Yarrowia lipolytica: one gene and its partners. The protein of the gene in region 3 interacts with the protein of the main gene of each other region in a pairwise test. Links are inferred from orthologs where the notes say so. Each region holds a gene or a part of one and is shown on either strand. Other genes may lie near its edges.

What was found. The genes of interacting proteins can lie anywhere in the genome.
Region 1: the proteins of YALI1_E20596g (region 3) and YALI1_F15708g interact in a two-hybrid assay, tested with the Schizosaccharomyces pombe proteins (2 studies listed by BioGRID, with this or other methods). The link is inferred for Yarrowia lipolytica from reciprocal best matches to the Schizosaccharomyces pombe genes sds23 and ekc1.
Region 2: the proteins of YALI1_E20596g (region 3) and YALI1_D15523g interact in a two-hybrid assay, tested with the Schizosaccharomyces pombe proteins (2 studies listed by BioGRID). The link is inferred for Yarrowia lipolytica from reciprocal best matches to the Schizosaccharomyces pombe genes sds23 and ufd2.

Annotation. Positions count from the first base shown.
Region 1 is NC_090775.1:1,569,267-1,573,999, forward strand, and holds YALI1_F15708g (uncharacterized protein), read left to right. Parts: upstream 1-1,605; coding exon 1,606-4,176; downstream 4,177-4,733. Other genes in the region: YALI1_F15692g (uncharacterized protein), read right to left, coding at 1-5; YALI1_F15695g (uncharacterized protein), read left to right, coding at 329-422, 513-970; YALI1_F15745g (uncharacterized protein), read right to left, coding at 4,449-4,733. UniProt on the Schizosaccharomyces pombe protein: Has a role in chromosome segregation. May provide a dynamic connection between kinetochore microtubules and kinetochore chromatin.
Region 2 is NC_090773.1:1,550,462-1,556,121, forward strand, and holds YALI1_D15523g (uncharacterized protein), read left to right. Parts: upstream 1-1,852; coding exon 1,853-1,870; intron 1,871-1,926; coding exon 1,927-5,103; downstream 5,104-5,660. Other genes in the region: YALI1_D15506g (uncharacterized protein), read right to left, coding at 1-206; YALI1_D15557g (uncharacterized protein), read right to left, coding at 5,190-5,283, 5,327-5,436; YALI1_D15568g (uncharacterized protein), read right to left, coding at 5,469-5,660. UniProt on the Schizosaccharomyces pombe protein: E4 ubiquitin chain-elongation enzyme specifically involved in polyubiquitin chain assembly.
Region 3 is NC_090774.1:2,057,580-2,061,565, forward strand, and holds YALI1_E20596g (uncharacterized protein), read right to left. Parts: upstream 2,075-3,986; coding exon 557-2,074; downstream 1-556. Other genes in the region: YALI1_E20604g (uncharacterized protein), read right to left, coding at 2,681-2,852, 2,899-3,035.

The DNA.
Region 1 (4,733 bases), on a different chromosome or scaffold from region 3:
GCCATTGTTTTAAAGTGGCAATATGATGGTGCAGGAACGAGGTGCGTCGAGAAAAGTGGTGATGGAGGGGTGGTGCCAATTAGGTTGGAGCTAGATACCGAGGGGGAGACGAGGGAAATGTGACTGAAAGTGGGTCGTTAGAGATTGGAAAAGAATTGTGAAATGACAAGATTGATCGGAGGAATAAGGAGAATATATATAGGTTTTGAACGGCCCAAAAATCCCCACTTTGACACCATTTCCACTTTAACAGCAATACTAACCACCTTGCAATTTACCTAATAAATAAAATAATGATAAAATATCTGACATGTGACTGAACATTTAGATGTATCCAGACACATGGTGGAGGACGGAAAAAAAGACCACGGATCACGTGATACACGTAAACCCAGAGTGGCGTGCGGTTTTGGGCGAGTCACGTGACCGATAATCTCTTCCCCCCGCTACTTCCCCGCAGCTGCCCACTCTGGTGAGGTGAAGTGCTTGCACTCACTCATAAATGTAGCGAGTATTTCGGCGTCGTCGTCATGTGACCACGCACGTGATCTGGCATATATATGACGAGTCACGTGACATTGCACATTACGCCGTGCTCACCTCCTCCTCATCTTCTTTTGCTCATAACCTGACTCGTACTCACTCGATCCGGTATCTCATCACCTGCCTGCTTCTGACAATTTCCATCACCCTAACCCTGAACAAAAAAACCATTCGGGTGGTCACGGGACCAGCCGTGCTGAAAATACGTATACTTAGTAAGCAGATTTCATGGGCCTCATGGAGCGTTTTGGGGGAGGTTTATGGGGGTGTTTATGGCCGGTTAAAGACGGCTAAAGACGGCTTTTTTACGCCCAAAAAGGAAACTGTTGCCTCCTCTTTCTCCACTCGTGACCTCTGGACCCTCCACTCGGGCTGTATTTCGATTTGTCGTCTCACAATGGCCATTAGTCACAAGCTCTTTGGCTGAACTTTTACTGGTACAGTAAGCATGATGAGCAAGCAAGATGAAAAAAGGTGCAGCATTGAGGTGGGCGGGTCACGTGAGCTGGGAAAAAATGAGGGCGGCGAGAAGGGTAATTGTTGGGGACACAAAGTAATTGAGCTTACTAAGCGGTCCTCCGCCTGCAATGGGGTTATAGGTGTTCAGTTTTGTTTGTTGGTGGGAGCAAATGACCGTTTGATCAAAGCCAGTTGAGACTGTCGATTGGTTGAATCCAACGCAGCAGTGGGGAACAATTGAGAGTGGGAGCGGCGGGGGCACGAGAGGAGGAACACAGATGTTTATATAGATGGGTGGGAAGTGACACAGAGCGGTGGGGTCCGGAAAACCCGGCGCCAAAACCGGCAATGTCGCTCGTTTTTTTGTTGACCTGGACTCAACCATGCCTGTCAGTAAACACTCCTTGTATAGAGTACCTCGATATATGAGTGCGTGCCAAAATATACGCAGGGCAAATCAGGCAACCCTTTTTCCACACAACCTTAGTTTAGGCACAGTCACAAAGCTACGGTTCCAGGTACTTACTTGTTGTTGCACAAGAGAACCATCCGCCGTACCGCAAGACAAAGTACACACTCTACTCACACTCCATCCCCACAACCATGTCATTCTGGCGTATGGGATCCGGCTTTTCGTCGGTCAGTGTGATTGACAAGATTCTGGACAACCCAGACCACACGTTGCACGAGCTTCTGGAGGAGCCCGACCTGCTCCAGGAGGTGCTCAACTCCAACGCCAAGCTCACCGAGTATCTGCGACGAGACGATATTCTGGAGGAGCTGGTTCAGCTGGTCAAGGGGTCTCCGGAGAGCTCAAAAGAGGAGGGTCAGGGCGAAGGTGAGGGCGAGAACGAGGGCTTCGACGACAAGAAGCCCAATTCTGAGGAAGATAAGGACAAGAAGGACGACTGTGATAACGACAATGACGTGGAAATGGCAGATTCGGACGACAAGGAGCAACCTAAGGAGGAGGAGGAACCGAAGCAGGGAGAGCAAGCGACCGACGCAGCAGACCCCGACAAAGACGACGAGGACTCGGACACGTCGTTCGATTCCACATCGTCAGACCCCTCCAAGTACAAGCTCGAGGAGGAGGACCAGCAGCACTACGCGTCGGTGGCCTCTGAAATCCTGTCTGCCGAGGTCTGGTCACTGACAGAGGCGCTCATGGAGCGGGAGGAGCTGGTGCAGCAGATCTGGGAGATCCTGGACTACCCGGCCCCGCTGTCCATGAACCAGGCACAGTTCTTCACGAAAATCTCGGAGCATCTGCTGGACAAAAAAACAGACGATATGATTGCATTCATCAAGCGGCAGTCCAACTTTGTCGAGCGATTCATGCGCCACATTGACGACCCGCCACTCATGGACTTTCTGCTCAAGGTCATTTCCACCGACAAGGCCGACAACTCCACGGGCATCATCGACTTCCTGCAGAAACAGCGCCTGATCCCGTCGCTCATTGCCTTTCTAGGGCCCGACGTGCCGTCCTACATCCAGTCTGCCGCGGGCGACTTTGTCAAAGCGTTTGTAACCATGTCGGCCAACTCAAACTCGGACAACTCCACTATTGGCCCCAACGAGCTGTCTAGAGAGCTTGTTTCAGAGCCTGTCGTGCGCGAGTTTGTGCGACTCATGCTGTTTGGAGGCACCGGCCTTGCTACCGGCGTGGGCATCATCATTGAGATCATCCGAAAGAATAACTCCGATTATGACTACATGCCTGTGTTGTTCATTACCATGAAAACACACCCTCCGGGACCTCGAGACCCCATCTATCTCGGCACGCTGGTGCGCATCTTTTCGCAGCACATTCCCGAGTTCCAGGCCATGCTCACCCGTCCCAGCAATAAGACGCTCAAGACCCCCATTGGCGACATTGAGCCACTGGGCTTTGAGCGGTTTAAGATCTGCGAGCTGGTGGCAGAGTTGCTGCACTGTTCTAACATGACACTGCTCAATGATCCCAAGGGCGAGACCATTGTTGCCGAGCGAGATGCCGAGCGAGAGCGAGTCAAACAGGTCATCGCCAAGGCAAACGAGGACGGTGGCGACATTGACTTTGCCCGTCTTTCAGTGTCCAACGAGGACGAGGAGAACGAGGAGCAAAACGAGGAGGAAGAAGGCGAGGCTGCCAAGGCTGACGCCGAAGAGGCCAAGGCTGATTCAGCCGAAACCAAGGCCGAGTCCGAGGCAGTCGAAACCGAAGACAAGGACGACTCGCTGGAGGCAATCGAGGCAGCCCTGCGCAAGGACCCCGTGGTGGGCGATCTGCTGAAAATCTCACTGGTGGACAACGACGTCATTGTCACGATTCTCAACATGTTCATGAAGTTCCCTTGGAACAACTTTCTGCATAACGTGGTGTTTGACATTGTGCAGCAGATTCTCAACGGCCCCATGGGTGACGGCTTCAATCGGTTCCTGGCCATCAATCTGTTTGATAAGGGCCAGCTAACCCAGCTCATTGTGGACGGCCAGCAGCGGTGCGACGAGTACGAGACCGAGCACGGTACCCGAATCGGTTACATGGGCCACTTGACGCTCATTTCCGAGGAGGTGGTCAAGTTCACGGCGGTGTTTACCCCCGAGTCTATCTCTCCGGTGGTGGCTGCCGCCGTCACGGTCCCTGAGTGGATCATGTACGTGGCCCACACGCTGGTCAAGACCCGGGAACAACACAATGCTCTGCTTGGCGGAGCTCGGCCGGACCACAACTCTGTGGCGCACAATCCCGACGCCATTATTCTTGGCGACGGAGCTGGCAACGAGCTCGGTGAAGAGGAGGCAGAGGACGACGAGCGAGATGGCGGAGTGGTGGACGTCGACGAGGACGCCAAGGAGGACAACCCCGACCAGTTTTCGCGATACATGAGTCAGCAGATCACTGGCGACATGCCCGACCGGTTCGGCTCATCCGACGAGGACGATGAGGACGACGTCTGGGAGGAACGCAAGTTCTCCAACGATCTCAAACCGTTCCACACCTCGAACAAGAAGGAGTCTTCGGACGAGGACTCCGATGTGTCTGAGGGTGAACCAGAGGTTGAGATTGAGCAGGAGGTCGAGGTCGAGGGAGCTGACAAGGACGCAGCATTACGTTCGAGCAAGGAGGATAGCCAAAAGTCTGACGGAGACGCAAATGAGGAACCTGAGAAATCGGAGGATGCATAAATAATGATGTAATGAGATTGGAAGTTTTGACAGATCCGAGCTCAGGGAGGGTCTGTACATTGTAGAAGATCGATGACAGATCCGAGAACCGCGAGGGTCTGTACATTAGAAGACTGATGACGCAGCGATGGTCTGATATTAGAAGACCGAAGTATGCGTATGTACTATTGAATCAAGAGACGGAGAGAGATTCAAAACTCCGATCTCCCCAATCTCCTGCGCTGTTAGTCTAAAAACATTAATTATACACTACATGGGCCAAGCGACACGGTTCACTTACGTCGACGTCCTCCGACCTTGGTGGCGGCCTTGGGCTTGGGCCTTTCCCGCTCCTCCTTGGCCTCTTTTTCTTGCTGGATCTTGGCCTCCTCGGCCTTCTCGGCGGCAGACTTGGGCTTGACAAGATTGAAGAGAGCCACGGGCAGAGTGACCCACAGAGAGTCCTTGATGCCGGGCATCTCCACCCCCTGGGAAGAGATGGGGTGCTCAATGTTGTTGTCAGTGTCCACCAGATGGATCTCACCGGTGTTGTAGTAGCAGTACTGCCGACCGTCTAC
Region 2 (5,660 bases), on a different chromosome or scaffold from region 3:
AGCAGCCGGTTGAACGAGTTCATCGAGTCGAGGGTCAGGGACGGCGGCTTGTGTTGCTGTTGTTGGGCCACGGGCGCCGTGGGGGGCAGCAGCGAGGCATTTTTCTGTGCATCGAGGAATTGTTGCAGCTGCTTCTCGATTTTAAGTACCAACAGACGCGATTGCGGCGTGGCGAGAGCCCGTTTGAGCGCGTCGTCGAGGGGCATTTTTTGTTGGTGATGAAAGTGAAAATTAGAATTGGGTGTAGCTCAGGTATCCCCAAAGCTTATGTGTGGGGTGAGAGAAACAAACCGGGAACTGTAGGTGTCGTAGCCAAGTGCAAGTTCCACACGGCCATAGAGGAGTCGGGAGGCTGGATGGCTGGCGGGCGTGGTTTTTTAGTAGTGGATTCGTCCAAGATACAATTGACTGGTCGTTTGCGCTGGACTGGCCTGTCACGTGTCGGGGAAATCGGTATTTTTCAATGTTGTTTTCTGATGAGTAGTCAGTAAGAATGAGAGAGAAGACAGAGAATGGCGGCACAAATACGATAGAGAAAGAAGAGCTCAAAGGATACGGCACTGACCGGAAATGAAAAGCGAAAGAGTGGACCCACAAGTAGCCGATTACACAAGCAGATATCTGACTCCAATGAGCTCAATCTCACACGGTTTTTGGTCTGATTGACCAGTCGTAACCGTCAACGTTAAAGTTCATGCCACGACATGATGTTGAGTTTGCCATGTCTGACTCTGGAAGGGTGTCGGTCGTAGTGAGAAGGCAGTCAGAAAGCGAGGTTGCGAGGTTGTGAGGTTGGGCGCGGGCTGTCAAGACCACATATATAGAGAGAAGGATGGATTCAAAGTTACATGGACACTGTAGCATCGAACGCTCCTCAACACAAACGCATACTCTACATAACAGCAGGGGACGCGGACTAATAATTATGATCCGTGTATACGTCAGATACAGTACATACGAGGACAATCTATGTGGACGACAGACTATAAGTACAGTACATACTGTACATACTTGTATCAGTACAAGTCATTGGGAGAACAATATATACAGGATGATTCTATAAGAACTACATGTAGTGTTGCACCACAAGAGCGTAGAAGTTACGACATGTTGAAAAATGTTCCGGATCTAAAATCAATTATCGAGTCCCACACTCAGGGTATACGTTATAGATTGTTTTTTTGCAAAACTATTATATTCTCCAAGTACAGTATATACATTAGGGAGGCGGCCTGCTGCTGCTGTTCTTACCACTGAGTCCCTGTGCATAGAGTTAAGGTCCCGGATAAGCTGGTTTGGTGAAATATTGAGGACCCTTGCATTCATGTGCGAGAATCTATTGTATTATATTTATTGTATGTACTGTACAGCCGATACGAGTGGACCACGAGCTGGCTATTTTACTGTATGTGCATTCTGGGCACCCATAGCGTAGAGTACCGGTATTTCTTCAGCTCATAGCAAGGCTTTCCGCCAAGGGCTTTCTCAGTTCCATCAAGGTTGTAAATTAGTACAGAAAGTACTTGAGAAGTGCCAATAACTACTTAGTTCTTACAGTAGTAGTACACTCGTGGTACTTCGGCCTGATGAGAAGAAGCTCGTACGAAATCGGTAAACACGGTGGCAAAAAAACGACCGAAAAACATAGGTGCGTTCAATTGAAGGTGACACCAGTGTACTAAATCGCTCGAGTTAGGCCCCGTGGAGCTTCTATTCGCTGCTGTCTCTAACTCCACAGTATTCGTGCTTGGAGATTACCTAATATCGCACGCCAGACATGTCCCAACTGCACCCTACAGTACTAACTTTCAGATTGAGACAAGTGTGGCAATTCATCATCTGGATCAACACCATGTCATCAGCAGAAGAAGTGAGTGAAAAAGAAATGGAGAACGATGAACCGAAAGTACAGCCGTGCTAACACAGATTCGTCTCAAGCGTCTAGCTCGTCTAGGAGGAGGAGCTTCCAGTCCCTCTCCTGGTCCTTCCGAGTCCAGGAAGGCAGAGGGGACACCTAAGGAGGAGGTGAAGAAGGAGGTGAAGGAGGTGAAGGAAGTGAAGAAGGATGAGCCCAAAAGCACACCTGCGATCAAACCCAAGATCAAGATTGTGCCCAAGGCCGCTGCTTCTGCCGCCACAGGCACATCGACCCCAAAATCCGCTGCACCACGACCAGCTCCAGCTCCCTCGGCTTCGCTGACCGTGCCGTTCCAGCAGTACGAGCAGGACGCAATTGAAAGCATTCTGCGAATCACAGTGCGAGACAAGCAGCGATGCACGCAACTTGCATCGGTCAAGGAGGAACTGGAGTCGGAAAACAAGCCCGTGGCGCTCTCCAGAGACAATCTCGAAGATGCGCTCTTCAGCCACCTCACAGGATCCAAGGCAGTCTTCAACTATCTCATGGAGAGCTTTCTGCGGGCCAAGAAAGACTTGGCAGTGCTCAACAAGGCTGGCACGGACGCTGTCGATGTAGAGCCCAAGAAAGAGCTGGTCAGAAATATTATGGAAATGACCACCCGATATGGACTGCTGTTTGTGTCTGTTCCAGACATGTACGAGCAGGCCCAAGGCATTATGGAGGTGCTGAAACTGTCACAGAACGGCTCATTGTCGTGGGAGTTCGTGGACGAGATCTTCTCACGTGCCCAGACCGACGGAGACATGGGCTCTGTTGCGGGCAAGATTCTGCAGGACGTCAACGGGCTGATTCTCAGCGCCAATCAGGACGCCTCCCAGTCGGCCACCGCTGCTCTCTACTTTGTGTCGCACCTGTTCAGCAACAAGCTGTTTGCTTCTGCTGTGCCCGAAATTGAAGGCTTTGTCGAAAGTGGCACCAACGACGAAAAACCCGCAGACATTGAGAAGAACCCCCATGGTCTCGGCCCCGTTTTTGCCATTTCTCCTTTGCATGGTTCTACCGCTCTCACCTTCTTCCCCATCGGTACTCCTGAGCAAATGATGGATCCCCGTGGCAACGCCGCCAACGGAGTGCGAGCCGAGTCGCGAATCGTGCAGGACCAGCTGTTCCAGATTGTCGACAAGATTGTGCGGGCGTCTCCACAGGCACGAGACTGTATTCTGCAGTACTTTGGCCGCGTGCTCAAGTGCAACCACAGAAGACGAGCCACTCGACTGCAAGAAGGCACCACATCTTCTGACGGCTTTCTGCTCAACATATTTTTTGTGTTGCTCAAACTGGCAGACCCGTTTGTCGATAACGCCTGTTCCAAGATTGACAAGATTGACATTGACTACTACAGCCGAACCAAAAACGCGGTAATTGACATTTCCGAGGAGACCAAGATCCACGCCGACTCCACCGAGGCCGCAGAGTACTACGGAGACGAAAAGAATGCCGATAAGAAAGACCTGGCTCCTAACTTCATTTCCCATGTGTTTTTCCTCACCGCCGGATACCTATACTACGGTTTTGGAGGTGCCCAGCAGCAGGTGACACGTCTCAAGGAGCACCATGACCAGGTTAGAGACTACCTTGACAACTCGCGGATCCAGTATGCCAATGTTCCCGAGGCTCAACGGGGAGCAGTGAACATGCAGCTACAGAAGGTGGAGAAGATGGTGGGTTCTTTGGCGGCCCAGCGAGCAGCCATTCTGGCCGTCATCTCCGAGCAGGACGTGTGTGTCCAGGTGCTGCAGTTTGCTATTTTCCAAATGCATTATCTCATCCGAGTTCTGGACCCCTCTCACACTTATCCCCTGGGTGGCGAAGTTACTCTGCCCCTGTACACTGGAGAGAACACGGGACCTATTGCTTACCTCCCCGAGTACCTAATCGAGGGTCCTGTTGGCATTGTAAACGTCATGTGTCGTCACAACACCATTCTGGCCATGTTGTCTCCCTTGGTGGACGTTTCTGCTCTCGTCACCTTTGGAGTGGTCTTTCTGCGACACTCGGACGTGATCAAGAACCCACATCAGAAGAGCAAGATTGTAGAGATGTTGTTTTGCGGCACCCAGCCCATCTACAACCAGAATGATGGCTTCTTGGTGTCTACATTCAACTCGCAGAAACTGGCACTGGAGTCGCTTATGCATTCGCTCATGAACATCTATATCGAGTTTGAGCAGACTGGAGCACATACTCAGTTCTACGACAAGTTTAACATTCGGTACTATGTGTCGCAGATCATCGAGTCTATCTGGAACAATGTCAACTATCAGAAGCGGCTGGAAAAGGAATCCCATGACAACATTGACTTCTTTGTGCGGTTTGTGGCGCTGCTGCTCAACGATGTCACCTATCTCATGGATGAGTCGGTCAGCAGTCTCACGGAGATTCGGCAGATTGAGGCGGAACTGGCTGCCATGACCGAGGAAGAGAAGAACTCCACTCACGCCCAGGAGCTGCAGAAGAAGTTCAAGACAGCCGAGCGCAACATCAAGGGGTGGATGCCTCTCACCAACAAGAACATGAAGCTTCTTGATTTGTTCACCCAGGCTGTCCCCAAGTCGTTTGTATCGCCCGAAATCGTCGACCGACTAGCTGCCATGATGAACCACAACCTCAAGGCGCTGGTTGGCCCTCGATGTCGTGATCTCAAGGTCAAAAACATGCTAAAGTACGGCTTCGACCCCAAGGATCTGCTGGTCAAGCTTTCCAAGGCTTACTACAACCTGCACAAGCAGGACGCGTTTATCCAGGCTGTGGCTCGAGACGGCCGATCGTTTGACCCGGCAAACTTCACACGTGCTATTGAGCTCATCTCGCGTTTCAACCTTATGCCTAGAGAGTACCTGGATCAGATTGTGGCACTTCGAGACAAAGCCTCGGAGGTGGCTGCTCAGGACGAGGAGGACGAGCAGGACCTGGGAGATATCCCCGACGAGTACCTGGATCCTCTCATGTACACACTGATGACCAACCCTGTGATCCTGCCGTCGTCCAAGATCAATATTGACCTGGCTACCATCAAGTCGCATCTTCTGTCCGATCCCAAGGACCCCTTCAACCGAGCGCCTCTCAAGCTGGAGGACGTACTGCCCAACGACGAGCTGAAGTTGGAGATTGAAACCTGGGTCGAGGAGAAGCGAAGTGCAGCCAAGACCAAGGATGCCGATGGGGATGTTGATATGAGCTGAAGAGGTTGGCTCATGTAATGTGGAAGGGTGTTGGAGTAGATGTAACGACTTGGAAGTTTGTAGCTATGAGTAAGAACGTATAATAATCAAATGAACTGGTTGTGCGTAACCGAATGACGAAGTCGTATGTGCACAACAATTGCCAGCTGCGGATAAAATGTGCAGCAGCTAACGAAAGAACTGGTCTCGGTCAAAGCTGATGAATGGTCGTATGAGAGTCGACTGTGAATAGTGATCGGTCACAATCACCTGTATGTGTGGTAAACCTTTGAGCGGGAGAGTTACTTGAGGAACTCCCGCACCTTTTCGGCGGCTACCACCTAACAATACCATCGTCTAATTATCTATACCAGTATCTAACATGTCTATTTCTGCTCCCGCTTCTTGATCTCCTTGTCAATGTTGTAGACGACCTGTCGTCGGGCCCGTTTGAGTTCTGCCGCGAGATCAGGAAGCTGTACCGTCTCCACGATATGGTCAATGCTGGTGTTGTCCACGAGCAGAGAGTTCTCCACCGTCTCGTTGGAGGTCGGAGTGGCAGGGGCAACCCCGTCTTC
Region 3 (3,986 bases):
TTTGCGATACCGAAAAAACATAAAGATAAAACTATCTTGAAATTTTGGATGAAAATAAAAATATAAAATATAAAATATAAAAATATAAAATATAAAATATAAAATAAAAATATAAAAAATAAAAAATCCTCACGATCTGAACCGCCGCCGTTACCCAATTAATGACAGGCCAAATATTCGAACGGGCTCAATCAGACTCAGACCGACCCAAACAAACACAATACAAGCTTCGAAGAAGCCAGAAGCGCCACTTTTTCCCACTTTTCCCCCACTTCGACATCCCTGTAGGACCCTGCTCTATCTAATGCACGGCTGACCAGCCTTGCTTTTAGCACCACGATACTATAATACAGGTACATCCAACTAACATGTACAAGTACGGCACAAGTACGGCACAAGTACGGCACAAGTACCAGTGGTTGTACTTGCACTCCAGCAAATATAATTCAATTTTATTAGCATAAATAGTGCTTGATTTCTTTGAGAAGGGAGCCTTCTTATACCATCCCCCCTTTTCTCCACCTATATACGTGATCACTCCAGATTCCGCCGTGGCCTATCTCTGACCCCGATCAATGGAAATGGACCGTCGGAACTGCTCGTAGGAAGATCGCGATCGCACGGACGAGGAGGAAGACCGTCGTCGGTTTCGACGGGCAAAATGGGGGTCCAGGTCCGAGTTGCCAGCATGTCGACCCAGCACATTGAGAATGTCGGTCAGCGACACCACTCCAATCAGCTTACCGTTGTGAGCAGCGTGGTGAGAGGGACCGTGGGTCTTGGAGGCCGGCTGACCAGAGGGGGTCGACGGCTGTGGAGAGGGCACATCGGGCTGCACGACCCACAGTCTGTGGGCGTTGGTGGCGACCATTTTGGCGATGGTTCGGCCGTATGACGTCTGCGGGGTCACGTGGAACACGGGGAAGGAGTCCTTGCCGTCCTCCAGGCCCCGGGCATTGAGAATGACTGACAGGAAGTGCGCGCAGGTGGCTTTGAGCAGATGTGACTGCGAGCTCTTGGACACAAGCCGCACGTCCACCACACTGATGTTACCCAACAGGTTGTTGGAGGCGTCGACGACGGCGAGAGAAGACACATTCTGGGCGTTCATCTTTCGCAGCGCCGCAATAACGTACTCATCGCCTCCAATGGTGAGCACATTGGGGTTGGGCTGGGCAAGACCCAGGTCTGTGAGGGGCGTCTGGAAGAGGGGCTCCAGCGTCTTGAACAACCGGCCGTTCTCCCAGATGTATCGCACGGTTCGTCGCTGGGACAGAATGCCAATGACAGCGTCGGAGGCGGGGCCCTCAGTGACGGCAAATCTGTGGACGCCAGAGCCGAGAATCTCTACGGCAGTGGCCAGAGTGGAGTCTCTAGGCACACAGATGAAGGGATCCTTGGCTCCCAGGCCAGCCACAAAGTTGACCGGCACGGGCTGGCCCGATCGCGCCTTCTTGACGTTTTCCAGTGCCTCGGGAGTGGTGTCTGCGGCGTCCACGTAGCCCATGACCAGCAGCAGGTAGGCGTTGAGGTCTGCGTAGTCGAAAGAGTGGGAGACGGACTTGTGTTCAGGGGCGGTTCGCACGGGCAACGAGGTGAAGTGGTTTTCGACGAGTTTATCGAACGCCTTTTCCACGGGCGTATCTCCCTCCACAAACACCAGCTTGTCGGGCTGCACCATGAGATCCAATCGGTCGTCTTCCCATCGGCGGTAGTGCTTTGCGTTGGAGTCGTCGTAAGCCGGGAACACAGGCGACATGGCGGCCTGGTTGTTGGAGGCTGCCGACGACGATCGGGACCGGGAGGGCGTCACTGCCGGTGGTGCCGTCACCAGCTCTGCAATGGACGACTCGCCCACGGTGGGGGAGGCTGGAATGGCAAAGTCGCGGTTGTTGGGGCGTTCCATCTGAGAAGCGTGACTGCCTTTTCGTGCGCGGGCAAAGGTGGCTTGAATGGACGAGTTGGACGGCGATAGAGCTGCCTGGGGCGATTGGGGGGAAGCCTGGGAAGGAGCAGGGACCGCCAAAGACGGGGTGGTGGGGGCCTTTTCCACTGAGGCGTTTTCTTTGTCCATTTTTTCGCTTGTCTGGGTGCAGTCTCTTGAGAATGTGTGTCCGAGACTCTCTGTTGTTGCACTTGTTGCACCGTGTTGCAGTTGCGTTACTGTAAGAAGTGTATGTGGTGCAATGTGCCGATGTACAGGATGTGAGTGAGTGAGTGCGGAAAAGCGGATGTTCAAGAGCACTATATACGATAGTTGGGACTTCCAAAGCGGGTCCCCTAACAAGGAGACAAGAGATTGCTGACTATTGCTGGCGGCCAGCGTCGCCTATTTGTGTCCAATTGAGGCCCTGGGCACCTCCCCAACTGCGAATCTAACCGACTACAGGACCGCTTCAGCTCAATCGCCACCCTTGCTTTTTTTTCCCCGTGCAGCACCGAGCCCTACCTCAGGTGAAATCTACAGTTGAAAAATGGCGCCATGCCAAGAGAGCGGGTGGAAAAGTGAACAAAAACCGGACACCTTCTGCTAAAAAAAGACGGATACTTAAGATCCCGACAGTCCCTAGCGGTTCCAAGAACTTGCCAAGTTACCACTTACCCTACAAAAGCTCCATCACCACGTCGCCCGATCCCCAGTCACCAATGGCACTATCGTATGCGCACCTTCGACAACCGTTCAGGGCAGCAAACTGATTAGGTTCCAACCCAACAGTGTTATCAAATGTACGACCTCAACGTCATGTGAGCATTGTAAGGAGGAGTGATGGCATAACATGTGATTTGTTGGAGGTGTTGGGTTATTTGCACGGTACACTACGAGCATTCCGGTGTATCGTACTCGCTCATGCCTATCTCCGTTGTGTCTCTTCCAACTACTTGTACCTCACCCATTACCCCAAACCCCATTGGATGACAGCAAGACAATGGACATGTCTGAGAGGAGAGAAAACAGGACGGATTTCGGGATGATGGCCGGATATTAATTGCTCGACGGCAGTGTGGATGCACCGAGCCGGCATTAAGCAGGCCATGTCTATGTCTATATTTCCGTGTCTTGGAGCTATTGTTGGTGGTCTATACTGTATTCCTATTTTTTAAACTTTTTTAAATTTTATATATATATTTTGTATTTTAATATTTTGATTTTATATTTCTACACCCTATAACTCTATATCTATATTCTATATTTTATATTTTAATATTTTATTAGCCTTGTCTAGCAGTTAACAGTACAGAACTTTTAACCAACTGGTTGAGGTTGTCCAGTAGAATGCCGAGATGAAAGTACTTCCTATTGTACCCACACTATCAGCTCCAACTGTTTATAAACCACATCAACACATGCTGCATCAATATCATATGTCCTCTCCTCCACGATTCCGAGCCCCGTTGCCCGATCTGAACGTTGTCATCATCAACACCTTCTCTACTGTATGCGTATCACTTCGCATTCTCGACACAGCCCCTCAGGTCACAAGACCAGCTTGTAACTTGCTCCCTGAAAATCAACCTTGACTGAAAACAACTTTGAGTGATTACTGTTTGGCTGCTGAACTTTCCCTTTTGGTCCTGCGAGCAAAAAGCTGGGATTTCGCTCCAAAAACGTGTTTCGACCGCTTTTCTAAGCGCCTTTTCAGCCCCTTATTACCCCAATATTTGACTAACCTCAAAAACCCGCACTCTACAATGTAGATTGCTCATGCACTTCCTGCAACGTTTACATTCCAATGCCACCGCAACAACGGTATTTCGGAGATTGCGGAGATAGTCGTATTAGTCGTATAGCTTGAAAGTTTGTCCACCTCACTTGAATCAATAGCTCTCGTGCGTGTACCGTGCCGTACAGTCCTATATACAGTCCTCATACTCGTACTACTCGTTCTGTAATGCACTCGATGCTTGTTTATATACTGTACCGTTATGTTATCTGTTTAGTTTAGTCGTTTAGTGGCTCGGGAGCCGTGATGCTATGCTCGTGAAAT